4 linked regions of the Alligator mississippiensis genome follow. The main gene of each other region encodes a partner of the protein of the gene in region 4 in a complex. Links are inferred from orthologs where the notes say so. Each region holds a gene or a part of one and is shown on either strand. Other genes may lie near its edges. The genes, in order: RAMP2, RAMP3, ADM2 and CALCRL.

Region 1 (7,263 bases), about 49 Mb from region 4:
GCATGCAGTGCTGTATGGCACATGCCATTTGGTTGGGTAGTGTGCTATGTGCATCCCCATCTGATGTATACAGTGTGCAGCATGCTGGGTGCAGCACTGTCTAGTGTGTGCAGCACAGAGCACCTGGGGGAAGTACAGCACACAGTGACAGGACAGAGGCTGGTTTCTGTCACTATCACATGCCGGGCTCTGAGTTTCTCATCGCCCCTTGAATGGCTGCCAGAGGGACCCAACTCCAACTATTCAAGCTGCTCTGAGCCACACACAGACTCACATCCTCTCCTCTCCTTCCTCAGCGCCTACAGCAATCTTGCCAACTGCACGGAGCTGCTGGCTGAGGCCCTGGCCTGCCCATGGCCCAGCCCTACTCTTGATTCCTTCTTCCTGCAGATCCATATGGAATATTTCCCCAACTGCACAGCAGCTGAAAGCTCTGGGCCCCTTGAGCCTCCCGTCAGGACTATCCACGCTCTGGCCACTCTGTCGATTTGTCTGACCCCCCTCGCAGTTGCTCTCACTCTCCGCAAAAGCAGGAGAGCTGAGCCAGAACCATAACGGGACCCAGCCTCACCCCTGTGTGCTCCTTGTACCCTTCTCCAGGCTTAGGAGACAAAGGACATTGTACATAACAGCCTTAAGGACAAATCAGAAAGGGAAAGAGTGTCCAGTGCTTCGAGCAGAGGTCTGTGAACACAGGCCTGCTATAGGGTAGAGTGTTGGGTCTAGCAGGGAATAGGGCAGGGGTGGGCAGTTACTTGGGCCCATGGACCACAAAGGGAGTTTGTTGAGGTGTTGTGGGCCAGGTTAGCACCCCCATCCTCATACAGCAACTGCACCAAAACCTGTGGGCAAGCTGGGAGCAGTGTTCAGGAGTGGGAGGGGCAAGCAAGGCCAGGATCATGGGGCAGGGCAGAGCCATGATCTGGTGCCCACACACCCCTGTGATGAGAGTGGGTTCCACGGGCAGAGAACAGATTGCAGCTCTGCCCCAGCCTGGTCCCCATGCTGTCACTGCCCCAAGATCCCAGGGTCTCCTCAGCCCATCCCACTTCCAAACACCACTCCCCACCAGCCTGCAACCCCAACCCAGCTGCCTGGCTAAGCACCCTCCCCCTGTCGGTGGGTGCAGGGTGGAAGGGCCAGGGTGCCTGGCCAGCGGTGCTGAATCCAGCAGCTGCACCATCCCAGCCCTGCATTGCACCCAGGCACATGTCACAACCTGGATTCCCCCCGTGCCTGGGCCAGGCGGGGCTGAGGAACCCATTGTGGGCCAGACAAAATTGCTCCATGGGCTGGATCCGGTCCATGGGCCATATTTTGCCCACCCAAGGAATAGGGTCTAGTACAAGTATCAGCAACCTATGTCTCACTGGCCATCCCAGCCCACAAAGGGACTAGATGTAGCCGGTGATGGTCCAGTTGGGCCCATGGTGGCACAGGGGATTGGCAGTACACAGCTCAGCTTGGCCCAGTGCGTCCTCCTTCTCCACTCTGCACTGTGCCTCCTCAACATAACACAGAGTAAGTCCTCTTGGAAACAGAAAGGATCCAGGAAGCATGGCATTTTAGGAGATAATCTGGGTGGGACCAGCAGGAACTTCCTGGTGTGGCAGGACCACAATAAGGGCAGACCCCAGACCTTGCAAGGGCAGTAGGGAGACTGTTACCTCTCTAATGTCAATAGTTCTTTAAGTACATAATCAAGAGAGTTGTTTGCACACCAGAAGCCTCAGCAAGATGCTACCTGTAGCACCCCGCGTAGTCCTCCCTCCTGCTGTCTCTTTGGCTCCCTACAGCAGGCACTGCTTATTGTTGCTGCCAAATTTGCTCCTCCCCATTGCTGCTGGTGGATAGTGGGCACCAGCAACATACAGTGCAGGTGGTGGAGGTGGGGTTCATGACAGAGACAGCAGCAGGCAGCTGGGGTACTGTGGAGGGGCATGCTAGGGGGGAGCAGTGGTCCACAGCAGCAGACAGGTCGCAAATGCTTGCCCACCCATCACTGTGTAAAGTCCCCTGATCTAATGTGTATCTGGAGCCAGCTGAATACAGGAGGGATCGGGAAGACACCAGGATCAAGTTTAAAATAATAGGGGTGGGACTGGACTGGAGGTCAGGTCTCCTGGGCTCTACTACTAGATGTAGGTGGGAGGGGAATGGGGCCCAAAGGCTCTCTAGCAAAGGGTTAGTCAGGACTCTGGGGTCCTAGCCCTGAAAGTGTAGGGGGGAGATGAGGTCCAGTAGGTTACAGTGCAGGAGGCTGGAGGTCAGGACTCCTGGGATCCATTCAAAGCTCTGCCATTGACTCACTGTGAGACCCTTCCCACTCTGCACCAGGGCCTTGGGGCTTGCTCTGTGGTTCTGTGCTGACTTCTCCAGGTCTTGCTGGGAGGGGCTGGAGGCTGAGCGCCAGGAGAAGTGTTTATTGTTCACTCTGGTGTGGGTTCTCCCTGCCCAGAAAGGCTCCAGCCTAGATGGAGAAAGAAGACTCCCTGCAAGCCTGGAGGCACAGCCTGGCCCCTATCAGTCAGGTAGCACTGACAGGCATGACCAGGAGGGTGCAAGAATACGAATGGGCTCCTCTCCACCCCTGGCTCCCCTCTCAGGATCCTGGCACTTTGGGATCACGTTGTCATCAGCCTGCCACTCACTGGTCACTTTGCCCCACTAGAGTTCCTCCTCAGGGATCAGCAAAGAACATGGTGTTTGCCTGGCAAAGCGAGGCAGTCGGGCTTGTGGAACTGCTCCAGCCTGGATCTGTGCACTAGGGACTCCTCCACGGCCAGTCCTGGCTGGGAGCGTCACACATGAGTGACAAGCATGGCCCTGTTCAAGCGGCAGTACTCCAGATGACATCAGTGGGTGTTGCCTTGGCAAGGAAACACCATCTGCAGAACTCGAGGCTCGGCTCCAAGTGTGCAGACAACAAAGAATGGGATCGAGGGGCTCTAACCCCTGAGCACACCCCAGGAGTTTCATGTGCGGGTCATTATGTGTTCCAGATGCGGCCACTCTCCCATGGAAGATCTTGCAGTGTCCTGGAACAAGCTACTACTGCGCAGCCCAGAGACAATTGGCCCATTAGGCAAGGACATTTGCAGGGAAAGCACAAAACGCAGAGTGATATTATCTTTCCAGTGCAGGGAGGGTTCCTCTTAGCTGCAGTCCTTTTGCCCTGCAGTTTACACACGGTTTGTGAGCTCCACAAACTGCCTGCTAAACAGGAAACATTAGGCTCAAATTCTGCCTCAAGCCAGAAGTGAGATGAGTGTGTCTGGTCTCAGCATGTTTCCCCCTACGAGCACATCACAGAACAAATACACTGTGCAGTGTCATTCGGACTAGCCATTCATTTCTGTTTGTGGTAGCCCAGGGCTGGGCTAACAGGGGCTGGGGGCAGGAGTGAGGGGCACCAGCAGAGCTGTGAGGTTGGGGAGCCCAAGGCTGGGCAAGCAGGGACCAGGAATCAGGAGTGGAGGGAATCAGCAGAGCAATGGGGTGGGTGCTTGCTCTTTTTTCTTGCCTTGAGCAGCTGCTGGGCTCCCCCACTTTGGTAAACACGAATTCCCCCAGGGTTTTCTTGTGATGGTGTGAGGCTTCCTGGCACTTTTGGGGGCGGGGAGGGGGCAACAAGTGCTGTCTTCCTCACTGCTTTCCAGGGGGCTGGAGAGGGTGGAAAGATTACCCCCTGAGCAGTGGTGTTCAGACTGGGTTCAGAGGTAAATGCTGAGAGATGGTCTTGAGGTAGTAGCAGCAGACATAGGGCTGTTGGTTTTGAAGCTCCCCAAACCTGCCTCCGAGCCTACAAACTGCATAGCTCACTAATATCAGTGCCCAACTGAGATATTACACTTTCCCCATCCACTCCCCCGGGCTGCCTGCTCTCCATGCAGGAGACTGGTGATTTCACAACCCAGCCCAGACAGGATTAAAGTGAAATACACAAACAAATAATGGGCCTTGTAAAAGTTTTATGTGCTGTAAAGGGAGCAGAGTTCTCCCTGCCACTGGCCAGATGTGTGGGTAAAGTGACAGAGGTACCCCAAGGCTGGGGCAGCTCTGGGTGGTGAGGATCGGTGCCCATAGGCGCCAAGCACACACCTAGCAGCATGGGGGCCCAGTGGTTGCACTGTTCTGACAAGAGTCCCACTGGGAGATCTGTTTTAAAGCAGCACTGAGTAATCTCAGTTTTCACACGTCTCCTGTAGTAGATACCACCCCTGTCAGAGGAAAGGAGTTGCTTCCTGTTATTTCCATTGAAATACTTGTCCTGGTCATTAGCAGGCAGACTTTGTAGGATGGCACTATGCAAAGAGACAGACTCTGGCTGCCTTTCCCGGGGGCTCCTACTGCTGCTCTGGGGTAAGTGCAATTCTGGCTGAGCCCAGCCCGATGTGGGGCTGCCTGGGGCTGGCTCTTCTCCCTGCCAGGGGCCTTTAAGGGGTGGAAGGGTTCACAGATTTGGGCTATATGACATGTTAGATTTGGCTGCAGCCTCTCTGAGCTGTGACCCCTGCTGAAGCCTGGCTATATTCACCTCTTTTTGGGGTGGGACTGCAAAGTAGGGGAGCCCCAAGTGCAACTTTGCAGGAGCAAGCATGGCTTCTCCCCTTCCAGCAATGTGCCCTCTTTACTGACTCTAGATCAAATATTCTCTCCCTCTGTGTGACAGCCTCCAGCCAGGGGAGCTCTGCATGGCAGGGCAGTGCGTGCTGCTGACCAGGTTCAGTGACCCCTCTGTACAGGGGAGCAGGGAGAAGGGCAGGGACAGCAGCCCCAATGAAAAGTGGGACAGTTCCTGAGCCTCTTCTGGAGACGGCAGCACACAAATATAAAAAATGAATCACTAACCCACAGAGAGGAGAAGGCTCCGGGGAGTCCTTTTTACCTTTCTGAGACAGGGCTCCTGGGCTTCAGCACCGGCTCTGGCTCTGACGACCTGTGTCTCTATGCCTCGGTCCCCCCCTGTGTGAAGGGGATGGGAATCCAGCAGGAGGCTAGGCTGGCAGGGTGCTTGTGAGCAGTGGGAAGCACGTTTAGCACACGTGTCTGGTGCGAGTCCTGGCCGTGGGGTTGGTGTGCGTCTGTGCAGGGGAGCTGCTTGCGAGAGCTCTATGTGAGCATGTGTAACATCATGCTTCTCCTTGCAGCTGAGCCTGCATCATGGAAGGTATGCAAATGCTGCTGCCTGGCTCTGGGCACCTCTTCCTGCTTCCCCTCGTTTTCCCCTGTTTATTATCATCATGACCATTAGGGACATTTGGGATGGCAAAACACGCACTGAAAGGTCCCAAACCTGCAAGCCTCTGTCTGAATCAATGGTAGGATGACCTGCCTGGGCCCTGGACAGAAAAGTGCTGGCGATACTTTGACTGTGGGCACCCCTGTCTTCCACCAGTCTGCCTGCCCTCCCACCTTCCCCTCCCCAGGGGCATGCAACTTGTCACTGAGCCTCAGACTTGCTCCCATGGCAAAACTGTGGTGGGAAGAGGAAGTACTGCTGCCTGTGAGATCTCATAAATGCAAAAGTAGGTAGAGAAACAGCAAGTAGCCAGATGTCCCTTAGCCCTGGCATACCACAGACCAGCCCCAAGCCTCAGCATGCCACAGACTGGATCCCCCAGCACTGCCAAGCAGTGAGCCAATCCTGCCATCTCTGGAATGGCACTAACCAGTCCTCCCAGCCTTGCAATTTCAGGGACTGGACTGTCAGTCTTGCCATGCCATAGAGCAGCCCCCACTGGGCAGTGTACCACAAACAGCCCCCAACCCACTGCCTCCCAGCTCTGCTGTGTCATAGACCAGGTCCCCATGAGGAAGGAAAGGTCAAGAAGACAGCTTCCCTAACCCAGGTCCACTTTCCAGCCAGACCGGCAAGGTAGGCTCATCTGCTCTGCACCATCACAGTGGGTGCTGGCAGCCAATAGCAGTCCAGGTCATGAAGACCGGTTTCTTCTCTCCCCTGAAATCTCAAGGGAGGTTTAGACATGGCATTGTAGGAGGAACAGGTCCAGCCACTACCCTAGGAAGACAGTGAAGCATGTGATTAGGGGAAAAGCTGGGTTGTACTTATATACCTTATCGCTGCTGATTACTATTAATATATTAGCATAAACTCTTCCCTACAATGCATATTAACGAGCTGATTTCCGCTTGCCATATATGGTTACCTTTAACTGGAATTTTTTTAATTCTGAGGTAATCTTTTTGTTCTTAGGTGGCAGTAGGATTTTGCTCTGACTGTTCCTCTTTTGCCAAGTTATTTTTATTCAGTTTAGTTAGCCAACTTCCTGATTAGCTTTTGGTCATCCAACCAGGATCCTTCCAGATGTCTTCTTTTCCTTTAGCAGGGACAGGTCACGGTCAGGGTGACCTGTCTGTCACATTTCTGCTGGGTTGCAGCTAAGAACAAGCATGCAGCAAACAGACAGTAGTCTCTTGCCAATTGCCAGTATTATCAAGCTGGGCCCAGAAGCCTTTGGGTCCCAACACCTCCCAACCCAGCTCTTCCCCTAATTACATACTTCACTTCGATTGTCCCCTCCTCTTTCCCTTTCTGCTCCCAAGCTTAGCCTTAGAGCTACCTGTCTTATGCCCAATTCATCTCCCTGTGGAATTGGTGCAGGGTGGTACCCTGCCCAGTGCTCCCAACTGCTGCAGGTGCTACGTGCCTTTCCATGGCCAATGCACTCACCATGCGTGCAATGCCATGCCATGCCGTTTCATTTGCATATAGCCTTTACTGCACCCAAGAGTTGCAGAAAGAAGGATGTAGCAGGGAGCAGTGGGGATGCTGGGTGAAACTCTGGGGCCAGGGCAGGAGGGGTCCTGAGCACCGCTGTGCCAGCTGAGCTGACAGCAACAAGCATTTGGTTCCCTGTAGCCATCAGGCTGCCCAGAACCATCTGGGTACCAAGTATCAGAGGCTGGTTCTGCAAATCTTGACCTCTACACTACTGTTGACCAAGCCCAAGAAATATACCACCTATGTCACTAGCCCCGTGCCTACAGCTACCCCCAGCTTCTCCCAAACATCACAGGCCAGAGGGTGCTTTGGGGCAGTGCCCAGAGAGACAGAACTGCAGGGATGGATGAAGCAAGTCCTTACAACACATCTCCTTTTGAGTCCAAGTCCTGCCTGGAGCAAGGGACTGATCTACATCACCTGCTGAGCTCCCTTTCACTCCTGTTTTTCATTCTTTGATTTTTCATCCTCCCCAGTGGCTCTTGGGAGCAAGGTATGCCATGGTGGGACTGCCACAC
Region 2 (7,302 bases), on a different chromosome or scaffold from region 4:
ACCTTTCCATCACTATATCTTGCGTAGTTATAAACGTTTTAGGTGTTCATGTTCATAAAATTACTCATCGCCTATAATAGAATTAAAATCTAGCAACATATTTATCTAGCAACAATCTGCTTCTATATTGTTGTGTCATTCCTCATAGGTCTTTGGTATTGAAGCTACTGCCTGTCTGCTGTGCCATTACTACTGTTTTATTTGGTAGTCATTAATAGAATTTAAAGTAGCACTTGTAGAAATTTGTTTTCAGTATCTATGGGCACTGACAAATGTGACTATCTGTCGTACAGTCGGCCACTGAAAGCACTCTACAGCTGTGCACTGACAGAAGTTCACGGCTGCAGAGCACTTTAAAAAATGCCAGATCACATGACAATCTGAACCCTCATTTCATCGGGGTTTACATGAGGGCACTCCAAAGTGGAGCACCTTCATTAATGCCTGTCAGCGTGGGCCAGGAGCAGGCCTAAGCTGACACAACCCAACCCTGCTCTGGGAATTTTTTTTCAGAATGGGAGGGGAGGGGTGGGGGGGGAGTGAGCCAGCTGGAGGGTGGGGTGGGTGGGTTGGAGTCCCCCCTGTCCCTTCACTCCAGGCTGGGGAAACCCCAGAATTGATCTCCCTCCCTTGCCTTATCTCCTCACCCTCCCTTATCCTAGGATAGCACTGGAGCTTGGAAAGGAGGGTGGGGTTAGGGGACAGACATTGCAGACAAGCAGCCTCTCTCCCCAGTTCAACTCCAAAGTGGAACTCAACCCCTACCCTCCCAATCCAACAGCAAATGTCTGTTGGGTTGGGAGGGTCAGTTTACAACTCATGGGGCTTTCTGTGAAGCACCATAGTTAAAACGGGAAACTGCATATCTGCCAGTGCCCTCAAAGGCTGAATGCTCGACATGATGCTGCTTTCTTTGGAGGCAGCCTTTATAGGAGTTGCAACAAATCAGGCTTTTCAGATGATAAGGGGTATGACATTTTAAGTACATAATTGCATAATTGGCATCATAGGATTTTTCATTTGAAGGGGGTAGGGTGTGTGTGTGTGTGTGTATGCGTGCTCTCTCTTGCACTCTCTCACACACACATGCACACCCCCCCTCGTTTGTATGAGAAATGTTGTCATTTCTTACTCATAACTGCCAAATATAAATTTCACAGCTTTTCTGAAGAAGCAAATTAGTTAGCGCTATCAATATTAATGGTTTGAGAGAGAGAAGTTTGTGTTACGAGGGGAAAGCCCATACATAATTACAGTGACATTATGAAAAAAGTGTTAATTTTATAGCATTTCTGTTTACAAGCTGTTCCCAAATACATAGACATCTAAGAATTATTCATTTTAGTTCAGTGTGCTGAAAATGTCAGCTTAAGTAGCTGGCTTATGAATTTTAAATAGCTTTACCATCTCCAAACTAGTGTGCTTGCCTATAAATTTCAGTTGTTCTGTACTGGAATTTCACTGGCATTCCATGAAGTAAACAGAAAATGTGGAACGTCTATTGAATTTTACGAGTTAAAAAAAGAATTATTTCACATAAATTTGCTACTACTGTTATGCAGGATATCTTCTCTCCTGAAGATGTATGAACAGAAATACTTGCTGCATTATTTACAAACAAACTGTAGTTCTAGATCAGAAATATTTGTTACATTTCAGCAACACTTCTGTACCATCTGCCATAGAAACTTGGATTTCCTTAAACTATTAAGCACCATACATCCTACCACTTGGGAATATTAATCCTGGCAAAATATATGATTTGTAAGAGAAATTTGAAATATGACAATCCTGTTCCTTATTATTATTACTGTAGGAAATATAATGGTCATTTATTACAGACTAGTTAATCAGAACTTCCTTATGATAATGGGATGGCTTTTGGATTCTCTTGCTTCTCCCAAAACACAGGTGCTTGCTAACTACAGCATTGCTGCATGATCTCCATTAGCTATTTGTTATCTAAAACCTTAAATATTTCATTGACTCCCCTTTTATCAATGGCATGTGCAAAGTAAGAAATTCATTATTCACAACTTCTTTAAAAATTAATTGCAGATATGTACTACAGTGTCTTGGACTTTTAATTTAAAGGTTAGATGAATTCTTTTCCATTTTTCTCAATTTGGTTAATAAAATAGCATGGTCAGTTTATTTTTTTGTTTATAGTCCATTTCATTTTCAGATGCACATGCAGTGCGCCAATGTTAAGTTTGAGTCACAAATGCTGCCTGGGCCTTTGAAAATTGTGCAGAAACACTGTTTTCATGGCATTGTTTGGTATGAGAGGAAATGCATTCTCATGTGTGTGTACATACATAAACTCATGGAAATCTATGCACAGATGTGCACATATTTGCATTAGGTTGTATAAAAAAAAGAATGTACTTTTGTGATTAATCTTGACCATATCAGTGACCATGTTTTCCTTTACTACTTAAATGTAATTCTCCAGATGCAGTTCTTCTGCTTATCTAGACATACTTTCTGGCTGTTTATTAAACTGACCAGCATAACTGTTTTTGGCTGTCTTGGTAAGTCTCCAGAAAGTGTTTTTTACTTCTTCCCCCTGGCCTTTCTTAGCTAGGATGCTAATTTCCCAATACTTATAGATCAAAAAAATACACAAAGTTTAAATATTAATGAAAATGAGCAAATAAATCCCTCTGGACGTGGCCATGCTAAGATGAAATGGCATCATTAAAATACATTAAGCCCTTACTTAAAGCCCTAGCTATTCTGTTTTGGAATATACCTTTCATGAGCACCACTGCTGCCAAGTTGCAGCACTCATTTGCAAATACATATTCACACTTCAGCTCTGTACACCGGGGACTCAGCTGCAAGGAGTGAAAGCAGCAAGTTCTATCTAGGATTTCTTGAGGATATATTGACAACATTTCCTAAAAGCAGGATGTTGGCTGCATGGTACCCCTTCTTTATTTGTGGCAGGGCTGTGTTGGCAGAAGTCTTATATAGAGTTTATATTATGGATTGTATAGGAGAGTTTGGATAGGGATGATCCTGCCTCAAGCAGGGGCTTGGACTAGATCAGTGGCTCATAATCTTTTTTTGAACTAGGACCCATTTGTAAACATTGGGCAGGCCTGACCCACTTAAATAGTTTAAGTGAAAAAACAGCCCCCAGGCCCTGCCTGTGCCCCTCACTCCTGACCCAACCCTGACCCTGGACCCCCAGTGTTTGGGGCAGGGGGAAGTATGTGGGGTGGGAGGGGGCCCAAGCAGCCCCTTGCAGACTGGAATTCTGCCAGCCTGCAAAGGGAACCCATGTTTCAAAAGAATCATAGATGTCATAGACATTAGAGCTGGAAGAGACCTCCTGAGATCATCAAGTCCAGCCCCCTGCCCAAGGGGCAGGAAGTCAGCTGGGGTCAGATCACCCCAGCAACATAAGCATCCAAGTGTTTCTTAAAGGTATCTAGAGTAGGTGCTTGCACCACTTCTGGGGGGAGTCTATACCAGACTCTGGAGACTCGGTAAAGAAATGTTTCCCTATGTCCACTCTAAAACAATCTTCCAGCAGATTGTGACCATTAGACTGTGTCTTCCCTTGGGGTGCCCTGGTGAACAGCCATTCTCTTAGTTTTTTTCTGATGAACCCCCCACAAAAGAGTTACTATTTGATATCCCGGAGATTTTCCCACACTTTTCTCCTTTAAAGGAGAAAACATTTTTAAAGCTTTTTGTGGCCTTTTCATATATTCCTGCGACCCACGGGTTAAGAAAGACTGGATTAGACCCCTGGAGGTCCTTTCCAGTCCTACTTCTCTATGAGTCTGCAACTCCAGGTGCTCCTCTGCATCATCCCAGTCTTTAAAATATCTTGGCAGAGGAAGCTTGTGCCAAGATTGCCCCTGCTTAGGGGCAGGCAGTCCCTTGAGAGCTCTGGATCTTGCTGCCCTTGGTCCTTTCCTTGCTGAAGGAGATGCTTGGAGGCAATGGATTTATTCGCCAGTGAGTGCCCCAATCTCACTGGAAAGGAAAGGATGGGAAGGGAGGGTAAGTGCAGACTAGGCAGAGGCTCCCTAATCACAGAGGCTCCACTAGAGCCTGTGTGGCATCAGGCACATCATGTCCCTGGGAGGCACAGAGGCACAGAGAGCAGTGCATGCACCCCCAGCTCCCTCCTCAGCTTCACTCTCCTGCTCAAGCCCTCCTCCTCCTCTAACTTCCCATCGGCTGCCTTGGAGGATCCCAGAAGAGCCACAACATCCTCCTCCCAATCTAGGCGGGCTGGAGGAGGCGGGGGGAGCATAGGAAATGGGAGTTGGGAGTTCACTGGTGCCGAGAGGCTGCTGAGCAGATCACATCTCGGGACAGAGCGGAGGAGGAGGAGGAGAGGGGCTGGGGGAGAGATCGCACGTCCCATCCACCCTTCCCACCCCTGCGCTTGCCGCTGCTCGGGCTCTGATGCGGAGGAGCCGCCTTGCCGGAGAGATCGGGGTTGATCCGAAGTGGCTGCGGACCTGCCGCCCTTCCTCCTCCTCCCCATGAGGGCTCTTTCCCCCAGAGGCTCCTGGTTGCTTCCCCTGCTGCCTCCGGGGTCGGGATGGAGACGCCTGCTTTCTGGCTAGTGCAACTTTTCCTCTGCCTGCTGTGCGGTGAGTACATCCCTGCCGGGTGGGATCAGCTCCGGCAAAAAAAAAAAAAAAAAAAGGGGGGGGAGGCAGGGAAATGCAGGGCAGCAGCCCCTGCGGGGGGAGCAGCACTTCAAGCAGGGGTGCTAATGAGTTAGCAATGATTTGCTGGGAAAGTTTGAGATTTAACTCTCAGCCTTAGTTCAAAGGGGAATGACAAACCACCCTATGAACTTCACTACTGGAGACAAAAAGTCAGCGCTAAACATAGAATTGGATTTAGGGTATATTATAACCTGCCTGCCATCGGATACCCCCCAGGTAACCTGTCTGCATTTTACCAGCTACGTTTTATCACCAGCTCAACCCCCCGCATCTACCTGGGTTCTCACCTCTTGTCTCCCATCCCCTCTGATTCTCACTGCCAGGCATTTGCATTTTCACAGACTTTGATTTTGCATACTGCCTTCTATTCAACCCAGGAGAGCACTAAACCTGTTCCAGCCTTTTGCACTGAAAAGCCCCATACTAGTCTCCCAAAACACCAGCAGTCTCCCAATGCCTGAAGAAGGGTGTTTGTGCCAGAAAGCTTGCAAAAGACCATTTTTTCCAACTATTTAGTTGGTCTAATAAAAGGTATCATATCTACCCAAAGAACCTCATCAGCCTTAGTTCTATTTCACTAGCAGCTCAAGCATTTCTGGGTTTCCCTTGGCAGGAGAAAGAGATCAACTTCTCTCTCCCTCTCATTTTTTTTCTTCTCCCCCCCCCCCCCCCCCCAGTATTTTAGGCTGGTGATTTTTTCCCCCCCTTGCTGGAGAGGCAGAGCCCTTCCGGAGTGGTGATTTTCAAGCAGGGTTTATTGCAACCTAGGAGGAAAACCCTAATAAAACTTCCACCACCTCCTTCCCAACTCCCAAGCTCCCTCGGGATCGTTCAGTGACAGTCTCCCATCAGAAAGGCCTGCTGTGTTTTGGGAGAGTAGTAGGGGTCTTTCCAGTGCAAAAGGCATTTTTTTTTGCAGCAATATTAATTGTTCCAGAGCAGGCTTCGCTGGTGATCTCGGTGGCTGGAACTCTGTTTTGAAAAGAGAGACTGCAGAAAGGCTCTGTAAGATACTGACCCTCCTTATGCCCGAAGAAGGGTGTTTGTGCCCAAAAGCTTGAAAAGAACATTTTTTTCCAACTGTCTAGGTGGTCTAATAAAAGAGATCACATCTACCCAAAGAACCGTGTCTGTAAGATACTAGATCTTGAGAGAGGACTTTTCAAAGAGCAGAAGGAATCTCTTCCTGGTGAAAGCAACCCTGGGACTGGATCTGTGATAGTGTCTTGTGAGGAGAGAAGATGTCTCCAGGCTCTGCTTCCCTCTCCCCATCCCCACGCCTTATCAATGAGTTGTACAGTGTCAGATGTGTATATTTTGCCTCCAGTGTTGGTGATGCTGATGCTGCGTCTGGCAGGGAAACGCCTTCTAATTGCACAGCAGATGCTTGATGTGAGTTCCAGAGAGCAAGAGGGAAATAAACACAGTTTGAGACCAGACCAAACAAACCATCCAGAAAAGTGTTAACCGAATTGTGGCTGTTGTGGATGCTTATGCACAAAGCAGATGGCTTCCCCTCCCACACCCCTTTGTTGCAATGGTCCAAACTCAGGTTGCACGTTTCCCTGAAATATAGTTCAAAATAATCATCTTTGATGTGGCAGCACGCGCGCGTGCGCACACACACACACACACACACACACACACACACACACACACACACACTTTGCCTAGGTCCTGCAGCAGACAGACACACATGGATACATATATACATATGTACACACACTTGGATGCCTAGATCCTGCAGCAGAAACAGGCACACACACATGGATGCCTAGGTCCTCCAGCACACACAGATGCACACTTTGATACAGTATTGCCAACCCCACCATGCCAAAAATCATGAGATTGGCATGTAAATCATGCAATGCTATTTTTGAAGTGTGTGTGTGTCTGGGGGGGGATGTTATTTGTGAAGGTGCGGGGGACTGTGGGGGTGTGTGTGGGGTTTGGAGTCTGGAGAGGGGGGTCCCCACACACCCTGGCAGGAGGCCAGGTACTGTGGGTTAGGAGTGAGAAGCAGCAGCTGGGCTGGGTGGGCTGTGGCTTGGGAGTAAGGAGCAGACACGCAGAGACATTGACATATACACAGACAATACCCAGCTGGTAAGTGGAGGGAAATGGGTAGGGGGGGCCAGATCGAGGCATGGGTGAATGGGGCCCTGGGGCCAGGCCAGGTCATCCAGTGGCATGGCAGAGGGGCGTGACCCCCCGCAGCAGTGCACACCCCTGGGGAGGCATGGGGCACGTGCCCTCTATGGGACAGAGGCAGGCTGCCTGCTGCAGGCTGGGCTCTGCTGCCTTGCACCAGGAGCTCAGCTGTGCAATACTATTGCCACCTGTTAAGCAGGCAGGGGACATGAGGTGTGCTGGCTGCATGGCTCATCCCCCTGCCCCCTCGTGGCAGGAGGCACACAGGGCAAGGCAGCAGGGTGCAAAGCCCCAGCTTGCAGTAGGCAACCCGCTTTGATGCCCTGAACCTGCAGTGGACACACGGGCACACGTGCACACACACATTTGTATGCCTAGATCCTGCAGCCAACATGCACATGGACACATGCATACATGCTTTGAAGCCTAGATCCTGCAGCAGACACAT
Region 3 (7,494 bases), about 200 Mb from region 4:
GCCTCGTATAGGAGGAGCTGCAGGCACCTGTCCAGATGGGGGATGCGCGGTGGCGGCTGGAGCGGTCCTTGCACTGCTCCTCCCTATCTCTTTCTCTGTCTCTCACACATACAAAACCCCCGCTCTCCTTGCTAGGGGTTACCCTCGGTCTTCCCACAAGCACCAAGGTAGGTTTGTATCTTAGCTGAAATGCTAGAATAAATCTTACGTTACAAAAAACTCCTCAAGCAGTAGGGATGCTTTCAACACTGGATGCTGGAAATCTCTGGGATCATCCCGTGAATCGCGTCTGCACACCTCAAAGGGCTAATGCAGCATCCCCTGGTTGAGAATCACCGCTCTAGCGTCTCTTCCAGCCGCCTCTTGCGCTCCCAGAACGGGAGCCGGAGGCCTGGCCTGGCTGCGAGCGTGAGTCAGCAAAGAGCTGTGCAGGTCCCCCGACGCCGGCCGGGAACCAAAGAATTAGGAACGTGAACAGGAAATCGCAGCGCGAGTCTCAGCTTGGAAAAATCCAGCTAATCCACAGAGGAGAAGCCGCTGCAACCCCACGTTGCAGGGCGGGGTGGGGGGGCCATCCCCAGCATGGGCTGCACCCAGCACCAGCGCCTCGGGGGGAGGATTCAACCCCCCGACACATGGAGCAGAAAGGAGTGGGGGCAGCTAGCACAGAGGATGCTGCCACTCTCTCAGCCTTGTTAGACTCCCTCCCCCCTCGTTAGACTTCAGGCCCCATCCAAACGCGCCCTCCCGCCGAGGTCACTCATTTCTTAATGATGTAAAACTACTAGATCCATTCCCGGGGACACCGAGTTCAGCGAGGCCACAGCAAGGCAGGGAGTTTATAGCACCCCAGAGTCCTCTTTCTGGGTTTACCTACTGAATCACATGCAGGCATTTGCACACTTGGCAGTGCTCATCCCACACACCCACCACACCCTTACGAGGGTCCCACAGGGCCCCAGGGGGGCTGCGGCACCTGGTCGAGAGCTACAGGTCTGGCGTCCGAGTTGGCAGCTCCCAGGGGCCAGCAGGACTGGGACAACCTGGACGGCGCTCACACCGGGTTTGGAGAAGCTGCTGCAATCGTCCTTGTGCCTGGGCAGTAGTGACCCTGCCTGCCTGCCTGGGGTGACTCAGCCGCAGGTGGGAGCTGAGGTCTGACCGAGCCCGTGGGGAGGACGTGTGGGGCGTGAGGGGAGGGGTGCGGTTCCAGGACACAGACCAAGGGGAAAACCTGGCGGAGCTGGACGCGAGAGACGTGCGATGCAGTCATCCCTCCTCGGGCCAGGGTGGAAAGAGCAGGCGGAGCCTTGGCAGGGAGCAACGTGGAGAGCTTGGACCGCACAGGCCGGCCGTCGGGGGCGAGGAGCATCCTGAAGAGGGGTCCTAGAGTCATAGACCCCTGGAGCCGGGGGGCTGGCAGGGAGCTGTGGGGTCCCATCCAGCCCAAGGCAGGATCAGCCCCATGTCCGAACTCGGAGTCACTGACACAGCCCCAGGCATCGCCCCCGCCCCCACCCCGGGGGTACAGGGGGGCCGCGGCCGCTAACATCCTGCTGCTGCCAGGGGGTCATGGACACTACACTGAGCCCAGGCCCAGGCTGTGCCCCCACTGCAGAGGAAGGCAACCCCCCCCCAGTGCAACCAGTCTGAGCAAGGGGGAAATCCCTTCCTGCCCCAGTGCAGCGTGGGGCTGAGCCTGAGCGCAGGGGCAAGACCCTCCAGCCAGGACCCTGCGGGGTGGGTGCAGCAGGAGCATCGGCACAGCCCAGCCCCAGCCCCAGCCTGGGCTGCAGCAGCACCAGCATCCCTGGGGGAGGGTTAAAAACTCCTGAGACAAGGGAAAGCTGCATTGCTGGCAAGGGCAGAAGTGGGGGCAAAACCTCTGAGCCAGGCGGCACCCTGTGTCCCACCTAGACCAGGCTGGGGAGAGAGGTGACACCATCTCCCCAGGACCCTGCTCCACGGCGGAGCCCCCAGTGTAGGAGCCGGCATCATGGCGCGGACACCGGCAGTGGGAGATGTGATGTCCTGCATAAAGCAACGCTCCTTGCAGTCGTGCCTGCTCTCTCCTCAGGGCAGCACCGGTACCTCCCCCCTGCCGTGGGTGGGGTGTGGTGGGGTCAGCTCAGCCCAGAGGGGCCCGTGCCCCCTGCTGTAGAGGCACAAAGCCCCCATGGTCAGGGTTGGCCTGGTCTGGAGGGACAATCCTGCCTGGCCCCAGGTCAGCGGGACCCCTTGTGAGCAGGCATGGCCTCCGAAGGCACCCAGCATCCCAGCTTTCATCACGCCGGAGGCTCAGCTGCCCCCATCAAGCCGGACCATCAAGCTGGTGCTCTCGTGATGGGCAGTACCCCAGTAGGGTGGCTGCCAGGTCTGGCCACCTCCTTTTGCAAAGGTTGGAGGGGTTCGGGACAAGTGACAAGAACCTCTCGGGGCTTGGGAATAATCCAGGGAAGGGGGAGAGGAAAGACAGACCTGGCCGGTTCACAAAGGAGCTGGACCTTGGTGCAGAGGGGCCCTGGGTGGGTGGCGAAGCGGCACGTGGCATGGAGCAGTCTCCGCATCCAGGAGCAGCCCGGTGTGCCCTCACCCACCCAGCGCAAGGGAAAACATCCATCAGCCAGGACCACTCCGCTCTGAGGCCGCGGGTTCGAGCTTCTGTCGGAGACGGGGCACGGGGCCACACGGGGTTGTTAGGGAATGAATCTCACATCATGGATTATAAGGCTGAGAGGAGTGGCTGCAACCCTCCCGCCGGCTGCGGAGCTGTCTGGAGGCACTTGAGCATCCCTGTTTGGGCCAGGGGTTAAAATTACCGGTGGTGGAAAATCCCCCTAGGTAACACTGGGATCCTGCATCGCTGCTCTGTTTTACCTTGGGGCTTGTCGGGCTTCACTCCCGGGCCCTGGACCACGTTCTTCCCTGTCCCGCGAGGCTGGTGAGCCCCCTGCTCTCGGGTTGCAGCCACCTACCTCTTCCAGGGATGCTCTCTCTGGGCAGAGCCGAGCAGTAAGAGGGGTCTCTGAGCGCTGGCACCTTCGAGTCCTTTCCTGCTGAAAGGTGAGGCTGCGGGTGCTGGCAGGAGACTCAGGGGCTATGGCCGGGTTGCCCCGTGGGATACGGCCTAGGCTCCGTGGTCTCCGAGCCAAGGTTTCAAAGACCCTGGAGCCTTTCCAGCTGTAACAGTGAGATGAGCCCAGGGTGGAGACCAGCAAGCTGAGCGCTGGCCTGGATCAGATATTTCAGGAGAGAGAGGCCGGAGGCAGGGAGAGACGGTCCTGGGGGTCAGGAGGGAGACGAGGGGCAGGTGGGAGGGGGCCGTGAGCAATGCCAGGGACGTGAGGCTGGCTGGAAAACCTCGGCCGACTCAACAGGGGAATCAGAGCTTCCACCGCGCGGCGAGTGACTCGGGGCTCAGCTCAGCGTTTCCGGCTCGGCCGGAGGGGGTGCTGACAGCAGACTTTCCGGCCTGGAGAATTTGCCCCCAGGTTTCCCCGGCCTCTGGAAACTTCCACCATGTTCCCGGCACACTGCCCAGGAACTTTCCACCCCTGTGGCCCTGTGGGACGCCGGGCCCGGGGAGCCAGGGAGGCCGCCAAACCCTCTTGCCCCATGGAAAGCAGGATGTACCAGCATCACAGGGCTGAGTGCCGGTGGCAGCGATGGGGGCAGGTGCTCCCAGAGGCCTGGAAGGGGGACAGGGTGGTTTAGTGGTTAGAGCAGAGCCTGGAGCAGGGGGAAGAGCTCCTGGAGACCCCTCCGTCACATGGGATCCCCAGCCCCTGCTCCCCACCTGCCCGACAGCGTGGGACAGGGATCGCTCCCAGGTCATTGCTGCCCGTGCTGCCAAGATCATGACTCCGGGCCCGTTCTCCAGCCATCTCCCATCCCCGGTTCATAGCAGCTGTTTTCCCAGCCCCATTTCCTGGGATAATGCGGCCACAAAGTGCCGGGAGGTTCCCGCAGCCCACAGGAATCCCAGCCGGGGGGGACGAGAGTGACCGCGGAGCCGGGGGACCGAGCCCGCGGCGCTGCTTCGGAGCTGAGCGATGACAACAACGCTGGGGTCCCCCCGCAGGTGCGCAGCAAATCCCCCCGCGTGGGGCAAGGCGGGCGACTGGAGCCTTGGGGGGAGGAATATGAGTGATGCGGAGCACGCGGGGCCTGGCCCCTCTGCATGGGAGCGGGGGGCCTCGCGGACCAGGACCCGCGGGGACCCCCGAAGCGGCCGACGCGTGTCCCGGGGGTCTGCCCCGCGGCGAGCCTCGACCTGCGCGCTCCGGGGGGCCGTCCGGCCCGCGGGCCGAGCGGAGCGGAGCGGAGCGGAGCCGCCCTCGCCTGGCGCCGGGCCGCGGTGCAGCGGGGCGGACACACGGACGGGCGGCAGGTGCCCGGGGCGGAGCGGCGGCGCGGCCCGGCCCAGGGCTCCTCCCGCGGCCGCTACTTAACGCGGAGCGCCCGCCCGCCCGCCCGTCCGTCCGCCCGTCCATCCATCCCGCGCAGCCATGCGGTGCCCGCCGCCGCCCGCGCTGCCCCGCGTCAGCCTGCTGCTCTGCCTGCTGCTGCCCGCGCTGCCGCTGCCCCTGCCGCTGTCCCTGCCCCGCCGCAGGTGAGTGCCGCCGGAGCAAGGCGCGAGCCCCTGCCCCGCGTGCAAGGGTGTGCTCGCGCCCGGGCAGGAGCCGGCTGGGTGTCTCCGGGGACGGGGGAGCCGCAGCCCCGTGGCCAGGCAGAGTCCGGCAGAGCCCCGCCGTGAAGCTAGGGAGAGGCTGGGATGCCCGGGGCTCTCGGAAGAGGGCTGGTGGCCGGGCTCTGGATGCGGGGTCGGATCCTGTTCTGGGTCGGGGGGCTCCGGGTCCCAGCGCGCAGGGCTGCAGGGCTCCGTGCGACGTGCTCAGTCACGGGCAAGTGCCCGGCTTTCTCCCTGGCCCGGGTGTCACGGCTCCCGGGGGACGAGCCGTGGGCAGGGGAGGGACGGGGAACCCCGGCAGAGGGGCTCTTCAGGCCCCAAGCCAGTGGGCAGGGCATGGTGTTCCCTCACCTCCAGGTCTTGACCCTCCAGGGAGCATCTGTGCTGCCAGCTGTCACTTCCCAGGCGCCGGGGAGAGGCCGGGACAAGTGTGGGGGGCTGGCTGGGGCCAAGCTGTCCATCCATCTATCTGTCCGTTCATCCGTACGTCCGTCTGTCTGTCCCCAGGCAGGACTGAGGGAATTCCTTCCCATCCCCAGGCTGGCCGCGCTCTCCTGGGATGGGGCAGCATCTCCCAGGGGGACACGGCGAAGCAGGGTTTCCTGGGTGCCCTCGTCCCCCCAACATCTCTTGGATGGAGAGGGAGGGAGGCAGCACCCAGCCCCGGGGCCCTGAGTCTGGCAGGAGGCACCCGGTGCTGAAGGCAGCACAGGGCAGGGGTGGGCTGCAGCCGGAGGCAAGGTGTGTACGTGCACTCAGCGGGCGTGTAGAGGTGCATACGTGAGCCCAGCCGGCACGTGGGCACCGGGCTCGTATGTGCTAGCCCCTGTGGGCGGCTGCGCATTTTGCTGTGTGTGCAGGCGGAGATGCGTGTTTTCACATGCACGTGTAGGCAGGTGTGTGCTGCCATTCCTGTCGGAGGGGTGTACACGCAGGCATCCATCCGTGTGCCTGCGCACATGCGTGTGAAGGTGTAGATAGATGGGAGACAGGTGCCCAGCTGCACATATGGATAGGCAGGCACGCGTGTGCATGCAAGTGTGAATGCATGGGGGTGTGCTCTTGCAGGTTGCGTGCAAGTGTGGATGCACTATGGGGTGCGTGGGGGATGGGTGCGGGGAGAGGATGCACAGGCATGAGTACATGGGTGTGTGCACCCAGCCTGGGCACTGAGGGAGGTGGAGATGGGCACGGCGGAGGCAGGGCTGCCATGTGGGGCAGGGTGGAGCTGTGAACGCCCCCCAAACTGGTGCACTGGGAGATGCCTCGAGAGCAGTGACCCCAAGTGTGCGTGCAGTGGAGCGCGGAGGGGGCAGGAGGTGGCAGGTCGCTGCCCGGGCGTAACGAGGGTTCACGGAGCCGCGGCTGGGCCCTGCCCTGCAGATGTGGGGCGTTAGGGTGGCTGTCAGTAGAGCCCCGAGACCACAGGGTTCCCGTGTCCGGGGGGTCATGCAGGGTCGTGGCCGTGCTGGGGGATCCCGTGCCCATGCCTGCTTGCAAAGCCGGGGCCAGCTGGGTGCAACCCCCTTGGTTAACCCCGGGGGGTGGGAGCAGGGCATGGGGTATTTGCAGGCTTCTGGCATTGGCCTTGGGGCCTAGCTATGTGGGGTGGGCTCTCCCAGTACAGTTGTGCCTGGGGGGCTGGGCACTGGTGAGGAAGCCCCCCCTGTAGTACGTGCCGCCTCCCTGTGGCGCATGGGGTTGTGGCTTGCAGGTGGGGAGCTGGAGGCATTGGGGGGTGGCAGAGGAGGGCTCTGGGAGCAGGGGTCCGTCCCAGCAAGGCATGCTCAGGGGGGAGCCTCCAGGTGCAGAGCCAAGGAGCCGTGTTGGCCCCTGGCGACGTGCCCCAGCCGGGCAGGACGTGGCAGGAGCTGGGGCAGGGCCTCTGCCACCTCCCTCCCCTCTGGGCCGCGGAGGATGTACGTGTGCCGAGGCAGGTAGCTGCTGCGGCTGCCCTTGGCCTCCCGCCCTCTGCTGCCGGCTCCTCGGGTCCTCTCCACCCTGGCGCCGTCCTGGCAGGGCGCCAGATCCTCACCCGCCCGGGCCTCCGGGCAGTGAGCTTCCTCGCAGTGGTGCCCTGCTGCTGCCTCCAGTGCTGTGAGCTTCCTCGCAGTGGTGCTCTGCCGCTGCCCCCAGCGCTGTGAGCTTCCTCGCAGCAGTGCCCACAACTCCCTTGCTTTCTATAATCCCATTCCCTTTCCTGGGCTACCCGGGTCTCTCCCTCCCGGCCCTGCAGCCCAGACCCGTCTTTCCCTGGGAAAGTGCAGGCCAGGGGCGCGCTGGCCCGGCCACGGCGTACAGGCTTTTTCCCCGGGCGGGGGCTGTGTCCTGCGTGGGGATGGTGCCGGCAAGGGCTGGGCTAGGGGGAGGCTGGAGCACCTCTCTGCACAGCTGGGCATGGGGTTCGGGCAGCCCCGCTCCTCAGGATACCTGTAGAGCTTAGCAAGGTGCTCCTGGCTCCCGGTTCCATGCTCGGTCCCGGCTCTTGCACCAAAGCCTCCTGGGATACGCCGTGCCTGTGCCGGCGCTTGCTCGGCTGCTCGATGCCCCCGGCCCCGTGTGGGGCTGAGAGAGCTGGGCTGGGCCGGGCTTCGCGGAGGGGCACCCCCAAAGCTGCCTCCTCCCAGCCCCCGCAGGGAGTGAGAGGCCGGCTGGAGCCGCGCCAGAGTCTCTCCCTGCCTGAGAAAGGCTGCGCCGACGTGCTGGGGGGGTGAGGGGGAGATGCCCAAGGCTCCGGCTGTTCCCTGCCCTCGCGGAGCCTCCCTCGGGGACCGCTGCGGCCACAACGAGCCCCATTGTGCTGG
Region 4 (7,334 bases):
TCTGTTTCATAGCTCACATGCTGTAAAAATATTTTGCAGTTTGCAAATATGTCTGTACAATGCTGCTGGTAAAACATTTCTAAATGTCTCCCTCACCTGTGTAGGGATTGTCAAAATGCTATTGACTGTGATTTATTCAATGGCATTGCTGCAAAGTGAATTCTGATGGTCTGAAATTATGCTTCTCATATCTAACACATTAATGATTAACTAGCTCCAACTGGCTGTAAGAGGGCTCACTGTAAGAGGTCTGAATAAGAGCTAACAGTTAGGTAATCCCATTTAATGAACAGTTAGTTCTATTAAAATTGGTTGAAATCTATGAGACCATTCCTCACAAACTGAAAAGAAATTTATCAGATTATGAGCATTTTCAAACTATACTACATGGCCCTTCAGCAGAGTCGGATATTTTGCAACCCACTTTCAGCTTTGTAAATTAATCTCTAAAATATGTAGTACCATATTAATCAAGCTGGTTAATTAAGAGTTAAAATGGATCTGCTCTTGTAAGATGCAGAGTTCTTCAGAAGTCAATGGGGCTTGCAGGTGATCAGCGTGGCACAGGAAGAGGCTCTCTATGCTGATCCATTTGAACCATTATTTCAGTCTGAGATTTCCTCTTTCTTTGCCAACATGCTTGCAGGGGATTCAAGTTAATGAAAAGTGTGGATAACTTCTAGCTTGTCCACATGTTGGGCTGAACCAAACAAAATCTTTGCCTGGGGGTTTTAAAGTTTTGAGTCCTATGCTCCTAACTCTTTGGAAGACTGTAACTTTGTTTCTCTAATTTGCTATAAGTCTGTCTCCAAAAATAAAAAAAGTAAAGATTATTTGTGATTTATTTTTGATTTTCCCCAGTATAGTGTATAGATAATACAGCTGGACGGTGCATCCAGGATCCCCACATGTAGATGACCCTGAGCATTCTGGTTCAAAAGTAACCAGAAATATAAATGTCCTGTCATTAAACTGTCATTTTGGGGGTTATTTCAACCAGTTTAAAACCAAGAAAGATAACTGAGAGAGAATCTATTGACATGAAATAGTTACTCTAATGTTTCAACCAATGAGGTTTAGGTAGACATCTGTTCCTAAAACTGTATGTCCACTATTGCACATTTTTAAATGACTCAGAAAGCAAATTGAAGTTTGTCATTTTTTTCTGGAAGATCTCTTCTTGTACAATCTAATCAAATATTGCTACATGGTATATACCCACTGCAGGAGTTCTGTGGATGTGTTAAGTATGCCTACACAAATAAGGCTTTGCCCCAAAGTATACAATGGGCACATCTACACATGCATTAATGCACCAGACTTATGGCGCATTAAGTTTAGTACCTGTTATAGCAGGTACTAAACTTAATGTGCCATAATCAGTGCTACTGTGCAGTAGCACTGGCATGCCTTTTATGTGACGCTAATGCATAGTAGACTAATTCTACTGAGCGTTAGTGCATTAGTATGGCTTTTACTGTGACATGCTAATATGCAGTAGAATTAGTCTGCTGTGCTTTTAGCATCTTGTGTAGATGCCTCCATTGTTACATACATAAAGACTCAAGCCTTAAATAATGTCTTATAGAGAAAAGCTTATATATATATTGTGCGGGCCGGGGGTGATCCGGGCCCTTTTTCGAGCCGCGTGGGCTGTGGCCAGCAGCCCGGGCACGCTGGATCGGAGAAAACAGGCGACACGCTAGAATTAGTCACGGACGCTTAGTGGTTGATTCAAGATTGTTTACTTACACCAAAGATGGTCGCGGTGTAGTCTGGACAGTTTCCCAGGCACAGCTCTGATTAAATCCTCGTTTGAGGACTACAACAAGCTCGGGTCTCTCCCACGGAGTTGTTGAGGCTCCGTGGGTCCTTTTGCACACAGGGAGAGGGATACGTCGAGGATTGTGAATGGCGACGGGGAGAGGCTAGAGGCTGTTGCCTGCTTTAAATGCACTGGGTCCGATAGGCTCCGCAGCGCTTAGAGATCTTCACACAACGTGAAGATCCCTCCTTCTGGTGTTCGTGGAGTCCTCCAACTTGGGCGGAAACCACTCAAGCTTTTTATACAGCTAGCAAGCCAATCACTAGCCGCCACGTGTGAATAATTTCACGCAAGCCAATAATGGGGTTCGAATTATCATACAAATGGCGGGAACTCTTTGCAATGAGCATTTCTTAACTGCAAAGAAGAAATGCACACTGCAAAGAAAGCTACAAATTGGCGGGAAAATAATTCAGTGGTGCCAAAGCACACACAAAACAAAAATCACACCCTTGGGCTGTGCCATCCCCCCTTGCTGAAGGCACAACTGAATTATGCTGCACGCTTGTCATTCGAGTGATCCAGAGCTTATCATGAGTCATCAAACAAACAAACAAACAAACAAACAAACATAAAATTCCCCAACATAAAATTCGCTCTCCTGGGATTGAGTTGCACAATAACCAACACAAATACACATAATCAGATTCATAACAAAAATTGCACGATTAGGGCTTCAGTGGGCGTCATGACAAAGTTGTACGTCAGGCCCTCACTTCTTCAGACGATGTCATCCCTCTCAGGGCTTCTCTTCACCATGCATTCTGAATTCTGGATCTGTAAACAAAAACTCTCAAAAAAAAATAGGTTAACGCATCTCAACATATTTACAAAGTTTCCATGGAACTCTACTATAATACAAGTATTCATCACCCTAAACTACCCTCTCTTGTACACTCAACTAGATGAAATTGTCGAGGAGCCGTCATCTAGCTCTTCTAGATAACGGAAACCTAACTCATAGGCCAGTTGCCATTGACCTGTGTCCCCTAAAATCCGAACTTGCCGCTTATTGAGTCCAGAATGCTGTAGGAGAAATCCAAACATGTATCGCTCTTCTGGTGTTCTCTGTGGCAATGATGGAAGATCGGATTCACGATGTCTTGTGCCTTGAATCTCGGTCGGGTGTCAACAGTCCAGATCAATAGGTAATCTTGGCTCCATTAGGATACGCAGTCGTGACAATTGACGAAGGAGATTACACACGGGTTGGTTCACCATTGGGTTAAGCAGAATCCGGAGGACGACGATGTTCTTTCACCCATAAACCTCAAGACAACTATCTAAGCTGTGAATGGTTACTGGAACAGTTCCAGGATCTCGTAGATGACGGTGAGGCCGTGGTCTTATTCGCTGGAGTGATGTCAGTCCCAGCGCGCACGCTCTAGGGTTCCAGGCACAGTACAAGACTCCGATGATTCCTAGCATGAGATGCTCTGCTCCGGTATGTTCTGGCCAACCTTCATGCCATACGTGGGCTTTTTGACCGATCAGTCCTGCAACAAGCGCTGGCAGCGGAATAGGCCAGTGAACGTTGACAGCTATCATGTCGATATCAGTGGCATGTCCTCTACTCCATGAAGCTTGTCTGACTAAGAAGCTTGCTTCTTCCTGGTTCAGCAGGTTGGATCCAAGTTCCATGACTAAACGTCCCAACCATACAGCTAGAGTCTCTTCAGGTTGGATTCTTGATTCTCTGCACAAATCCTGTAATTCAGTTCTGGCGCGAGCATAGTAGGCAGTAGCAACTCGATTAGTCGTTGTTGTAGGCTGAACTGCCGCTGCGGGAGTCACTGTTGCTGTTACTGCTTCAGGCAGGAGGGGCGGATGCACTCCCCCGCTTGACTCTCTCTTTCGTCGGCAGGAAGGCGTGGTCGGCAGAGGCATCGCCGCATCGCTAGGCGGGGTTGCTGGAGACGACGCTGCATCAATGGGCGGAGTTGCTGACCGAACTCTCGCGGGTTCCTCCGAAGCTCCACCCTTCTCTTCTGGTTCTTCCACGCGGTCTCCCTCTTGCTCGGCGCCATCTTGGGCTGGCGTTTCAGGATCCCTTCTCTCAGCCGCTTCTTTGACCGCTTGAACAGCCATACGCAGCTGGGCCTTTAAACTTAAATTCTTGTTCATTAAATCAGCAATTGTACGGAAAGTTGCACTTAATTCTCCCCCCTTGTTGTACCACGGGGCCACCCTCTCATCTGCGGTGCGTTCCTCCGTCTCCAGATCTTCGTGGAGCTCGGATGGAAGCTCGCGACCCCTTAACCTAGACGCCATGAGGGGAGGGAACTGGCCGATTGGCACCGGCTCTTCACTCTCCCAAGCATATCGTAGGCATCGGGCACACTCCCGGGTGAGGGTCGGGTTCACTGCGCCCGCCGGATTGATTCTGGCGAGGGACACAGTATCGAGGGGCCTGAACAAGACCCGCTCGTTGCTCATTATGTACCTGAATGCCGCAGGGAGCAAATACACTTCTCTCTCTCTCAGGGCTCCGTCTTCGGAGGCTCCCTCTTCTCCCTTCAGCGAAAGGCGTCCGCTGACAAATCTCTCACCCGTTCCACCCGCCTGGTGGTAAGTGATATGCAGCTCCAGTTCATCAAAACTTTTCACTTGGCGTTTGTTATCACGCCAAGGGCAGTTCGTAACTAATTCTAGCTCTAGCGTGTTCTCTCCTGATCCCATCCTCGTCGCCATGTGTGGGCCGGGGGTGATCCGGGCCCTTTTTCAAGCCGCGCAAGCTGTGGCCAGCAGCCCGGGCACGCTGGATTGGAGAAAACAGGCGACGTGCTAGAATTAGTCATGGACGCGTAATGGTTGATTCAAGATTGTTTAATTACACCGAAGATGGTCGCGGTGTAGGCTGGACAGTTTCCCAGGCACAGCTCCGATTAAATCCTCGTTTGAGGACTACAACAAGCTCAGGTCTCTCCCACGGAGTTGTTGAGGCTCCGTGGGTCCTTTTGCACACAGGGAGAGGGATACGTCGAGGATTGCGAATGGCGACGGGGAGAGGCTAGAGGCTGATCAGACCTCTGTTGCCTGCTTTAAATGCACTGGGTCCGATAGGCTCCACAGCGCTTAGAGATCTTCACACAATGTGAAGATCCCTCCTTCTGGTGTTCGTGGAGTCCTCCAACTTGGGCGGAAACCACTCAAGCTTTTTATACGGCTAGCAAGCCAATCACTAGCCGCCACGTGTGAATAATTTCACGCAAGCCAATAATGGGGCTTGAATTATCATACAAATGACGGGAACTCTTTGCAACGAGCATTTCTTAGCTACAAAGAAGAAATGCACAGTGCAAAGAAAGCTACAATTTGGCGGGAAAATAATTCAGTGGTGCCAAAGCACACACAAAACAAAAATCGCACCCTTGGGTTGTGACATATATATATATATATATATATATATATGTATTTTGTACTAAGTAGGGTAAAAGGATAGATGTTCAAGTCCGGGGGGGGGGGGGCGTTAAATATAAAGTGTGTTTTTATCTTTTTTGGCTTTAAAATTATTAGTTTCTAGAGTACAACCAGGATTAAATTTATTCTTTTGAGGAAGAGAAAAAAGTAAAAGCAGAAGGAGCTGATGGTGCAGGCAAGATGTCTGTACACAGAGAACTGGGGAGAAAGAAATGGAAGCATCTGTTAAAGCTATATGAGCATGATTTTCTGGCCACATTTAGCCTACAGTTGCCACACAACTTTCTGCAATAGATGCCTCTGCTATCAATGAGGCACACAGTAAAGAGAAAAACAGGCAGTTCATGTGATTTGTAAGTTGTCTGATATTCAGTAAAAATAAGATACAAGTGTGATATTTGATGAACTGAGCTACTGTTGAAATGTCATTACATTATTGCATGGGGGCAGTAATGGGGCAGTCAGTGGAGGGGTGGTAGGGAACAGGCAGTGTGGAGGCAGTGGGGCAGGCAGTGACAGAGGCTGGCAGCTTGCCACTTGCCCCCCCCCACACACTTGTCCCCCATTGTACCTCCCCCCACCCCTGCAGCCTCAGTTTGCCTTGATTCCCCCTTTGCCTGTTCCCCCCTCAAGTCCTTTCCATGCTGCTTCTGTCTTTTGCAGCCTCAGATCCCTGCTCCACCTTCCCCCTGCCTGCCCCTTCCCCTTTGCTCTGCATTACCTTTGCTCTGCATCACCTGGCTCCATCCCTACTGTAGCCTGGGGCATTGAGCATAGCTCCAGCCTGGCCCCATAGCAGCAGCATGGAGCTGGCACCCAGCACTATACATGATCCAGGTTGCAGTGAGGGCAGAACTTGCTGGCACGGAGCAAAGGTAAGGAGAAGTGCAGCAGAGCAGAAGAAATGGAGAAGGGCAGGGGGAGGTGCGTGTGTAGAGGCAGTGGGGACTGGGGGGGGGGACAGAAAGCAGCTGTGGTTGTGGCTGCAGCTCCAGTTCCACCTCCAGCTCCAACCCCAGGTTTGGGCCAGAGCCACCGCAGCTGCTTGCCCTCCTGCTCTCCCACCTCCTCCTCTCCTGCCACCACACACTTCCTCATAATTGACTGTAAGACAAGGGTCTTTTTTCCCATGTTAAATGAGCAGAAAACCCTTTTGTAATAATCAAGTAAATACGGTATTCCATCTCTAATGTGTAAGTCAATAATCAGTGGCTAACTTATTGAATCTCCCTCCAGCATGGAATAGCCCGAAAGGGCTCATGGTGCGAACATATACTATCTTCTGTAAAGCTGCATTTTTACTGGGCTTATTTTTAATATACTGAAGTTAATTTCAACTCCCAAATGATACCTGGTCTCTTTCATTATATGATTGTCAATTACAGCCAACACACAGCTTGATAGCATCAGTATGTTATCCCCATATTATTTTTTTGGGTTGCTAACCAGAATTGGTGATAAATGGAGTTTATTTTCATAGTAAAAATGTTTTTTGATAAACATCAAACCCAGTGTTTTTGTCAGAAACAGTATTTTAGTCAAAAAAATGAATTTCTTAAGTTCTAAAATACCTCTGCAGCACTTCCTAGGAATTGCTTTTTGGGTTCCTCATGCTCCCATTAGCTTCTATATAGTCTTCCTGGTTGGAATTCACTTTCCACAATACATCCAGTCTCTACTTTTGGGGAAAAGTAGTACATCAAGGCAGTCACAAGGTTACAATAGATCTCCAGCTAGAAGGGCCTGGCCGATAGAGGCAGGTACGAGTATGAGGCAACCAATTCTGACTCCCATACACCAATATTGCAGCATTTCAGTGTCAAAATACTAGTTTCTGGTCAACATATATACATGCACAACATGCATGTTTGTTTGTTTCTAAACATTCACTTTTAATTTTTACTAAAAATCAACATTTTTGACAACCTGATACTTTTGTGAGAAAGTATTTGTTTGAAAAATCATATATTATTGAAAAAAAAATATTTTTGATGGGAAATCAAAAAATATTTGATCCTCCTGGCCTTCCAGCCTTACAATCTATGAATCTTATATTATCTTCAGGGCCTCATTGGCTAGGAACTAACAT

What was found.
Region 1: the proteins of CALCRL (region 4) and RAMP2 are in contact, whole or in part, in a crystal structure (PDB 3AQF), measured with the Homo sapiens proteins. The link is inferred for Alligator mississippiensis from reciprocal best matches to the Homo sapiens genes CALCRL and RAMP2. Residues at the interface, in NP_001258680.1 of Homo sapiens: Arg38, Asn39, Ile41, Met42, Thr43, Gln45, Tyr46, Glu47, Tyr49, Gln50, Lys51, Ile52, Met53, Gln54, Trp69, Asp70, Gly71, Arg119; in NP_005845.2 of Homo sapiens: Trp86, Ile89, Tyr93, Ser94, Arg97, Leu109, Gly110, Pro112, Glu117, Ile120, Phe121, His124, Gln125, Phe128, Ala129, Cys131, Ser132, Leu133, Val134.
Region 2: the proteins of CALCRL (region 4) and RAMP3 are in contact, whole or in part, in a cryo-EM structure (PDB 6UVA), measured with the Homo sapiens proteins. The link is inferred for Alligator mississippiensis from reciprocal best matches to the Homo sapiens genes CALCRL and RAMP3. Residues at the interface, in NP_001258680.1 of Homo sapiens: Arg38, Asn39, Met42, Thr43, Gln45, Tyr46, Glu47, Tyr49, Gln50, Met53, Trp69, Asp70, Ser117, Arg119, Thr120, Phe228, Leu231, Ile235, His238, Thr239, Val243, Val245, Lys249, Gln250, His251, Trp254, Tyr255, Phe257, Leu258, Phe262; in NP_005847.1 of Homo sapiens: Trp56, Cys57, Leu59, Phe62, Ile63, Tyr66, Glu67, Thr70, Cys82, Tyr83, Pro85, Asn86, Pro87, Leu88, Gln90, Ile93, Thr94, His97, Arg98, Cys104, Thr105, Val106, Asp107, Arg108, His110, Leu111, Glu112, Asp113, Pro114, Val118.
Region 3: the proteins of CALCRL (region 4) and ADM2 are in contact, whole or in part, in a cryo-EM structure (PDB 6UVA), measured with the Homo sapiens proteins. The link is inferred for Alligator mississippiensis from reciprocal best matches to the Homo sapiens genes CALCRL and ADM2. Residues at the interface, in NP_001258680.1 of Homo sapiens: Val36, Thr37, Lys40, Asp70, Gly71, Trp72, Asp90, Tyr91, Phe92, Gln93, Asp94, Phe95, Asp96, Pro97, Ser98, His114, Ala116, Ser117, Thr120, Trp121, Thr122, Tyr124, Thr125, Asn128, Thr131, Lys134, Val135, Ala138, Leu139, Leu141; in NP_001240774.1 of Homo sapiens: Leu106, Arg107, Val108, Gly109, Cys110, Val111, Leu112, Gly113, Thr114, Cys115, Gln116, Val117, Gln118, Asn119, Leu120, Ser121, His122, Arg123, Leu124, Trp125, Gln126, Leu127, Met128, Gly129, Pro130, Ala131, Gly132, Arg133, Gln134, Asp135.

The regions. Positions count from the first base shown.
Region 1 is NC_081827.1:152,179,042-152,186,304, forward strand, and holds the start of RAMP2 (receptor activity-modifying protein 2), read left to right. Parts: upstream 1-4,253; 5' UTR 4,254-4,298; coding exon 4,299-4,362; intron 4,363-7,221; coding exon 7,222-7,263. UniProt on the Homo sapiens protein: Accessory protein that interacts with and modulates the function of G-protein coupled receptors including calcitonin gene-related peptide type 1 receptor (CALCRL) and calcitonin receptor (CALCR). Required for the transport of CALCRL to the plasma membrane.
Region 2 is NC_081828.1:117,398,066-117,405,367, reverse strand, and holds the start of RAMP3 (receptor activity-modifying protein 3), read left to right. Parts: upstream 1-4,299; 5' UTR 4,300-4,570; coding exon 4,571-4,622; intron 4,623-7,302. UniProt on the Homo sapiens protein: Accessory protein that interacts with and modulates the function of G-protein coupled receptors including calcitonin gene-related peptide type 1 receptor (CALCRL), calcitonin receptor (CALCR) and G-protein coupled estrogen receptor 1 (GPER1).
Region 3 is NC_081827.1:1,946,108-1,953,601, reverse strand, and holds the start of ADM2 (protein ADM2), read left to right. Parts: upstream 1-4,488; 5' UTR 4,489-4,508; coding exon 4,509-4,612; intron 4,613-7,494. UniProt on the Homo sapiens protein: Intermedin/ADM2 is a peptide hormone that plays a role as physiological regulator of gastrointestinal and cardiovascular bioactivities mediated by the CALCRL-RAMPs receptor complexes.
Region 4 is NC_081827.1:200,841,325-200,848,658, forward strand, and holds the start of CALCRL (calcitonin gene-related peptide type 1 receptor), read left to right. Parts: upstream 1-4,329; 5' UTR 4,330-4,393; intron 4,394-7,334. UniProt on the Homo sapiens protein: G protein-coupled receptor which specificity is determined by its interaction with receptor-activity-modifying proteins (RAMPs). Together with RAMP1, form the receptor complex for calcitonin-gene-related peptides CALCA/CGRP1 and CALCB/CGRP2.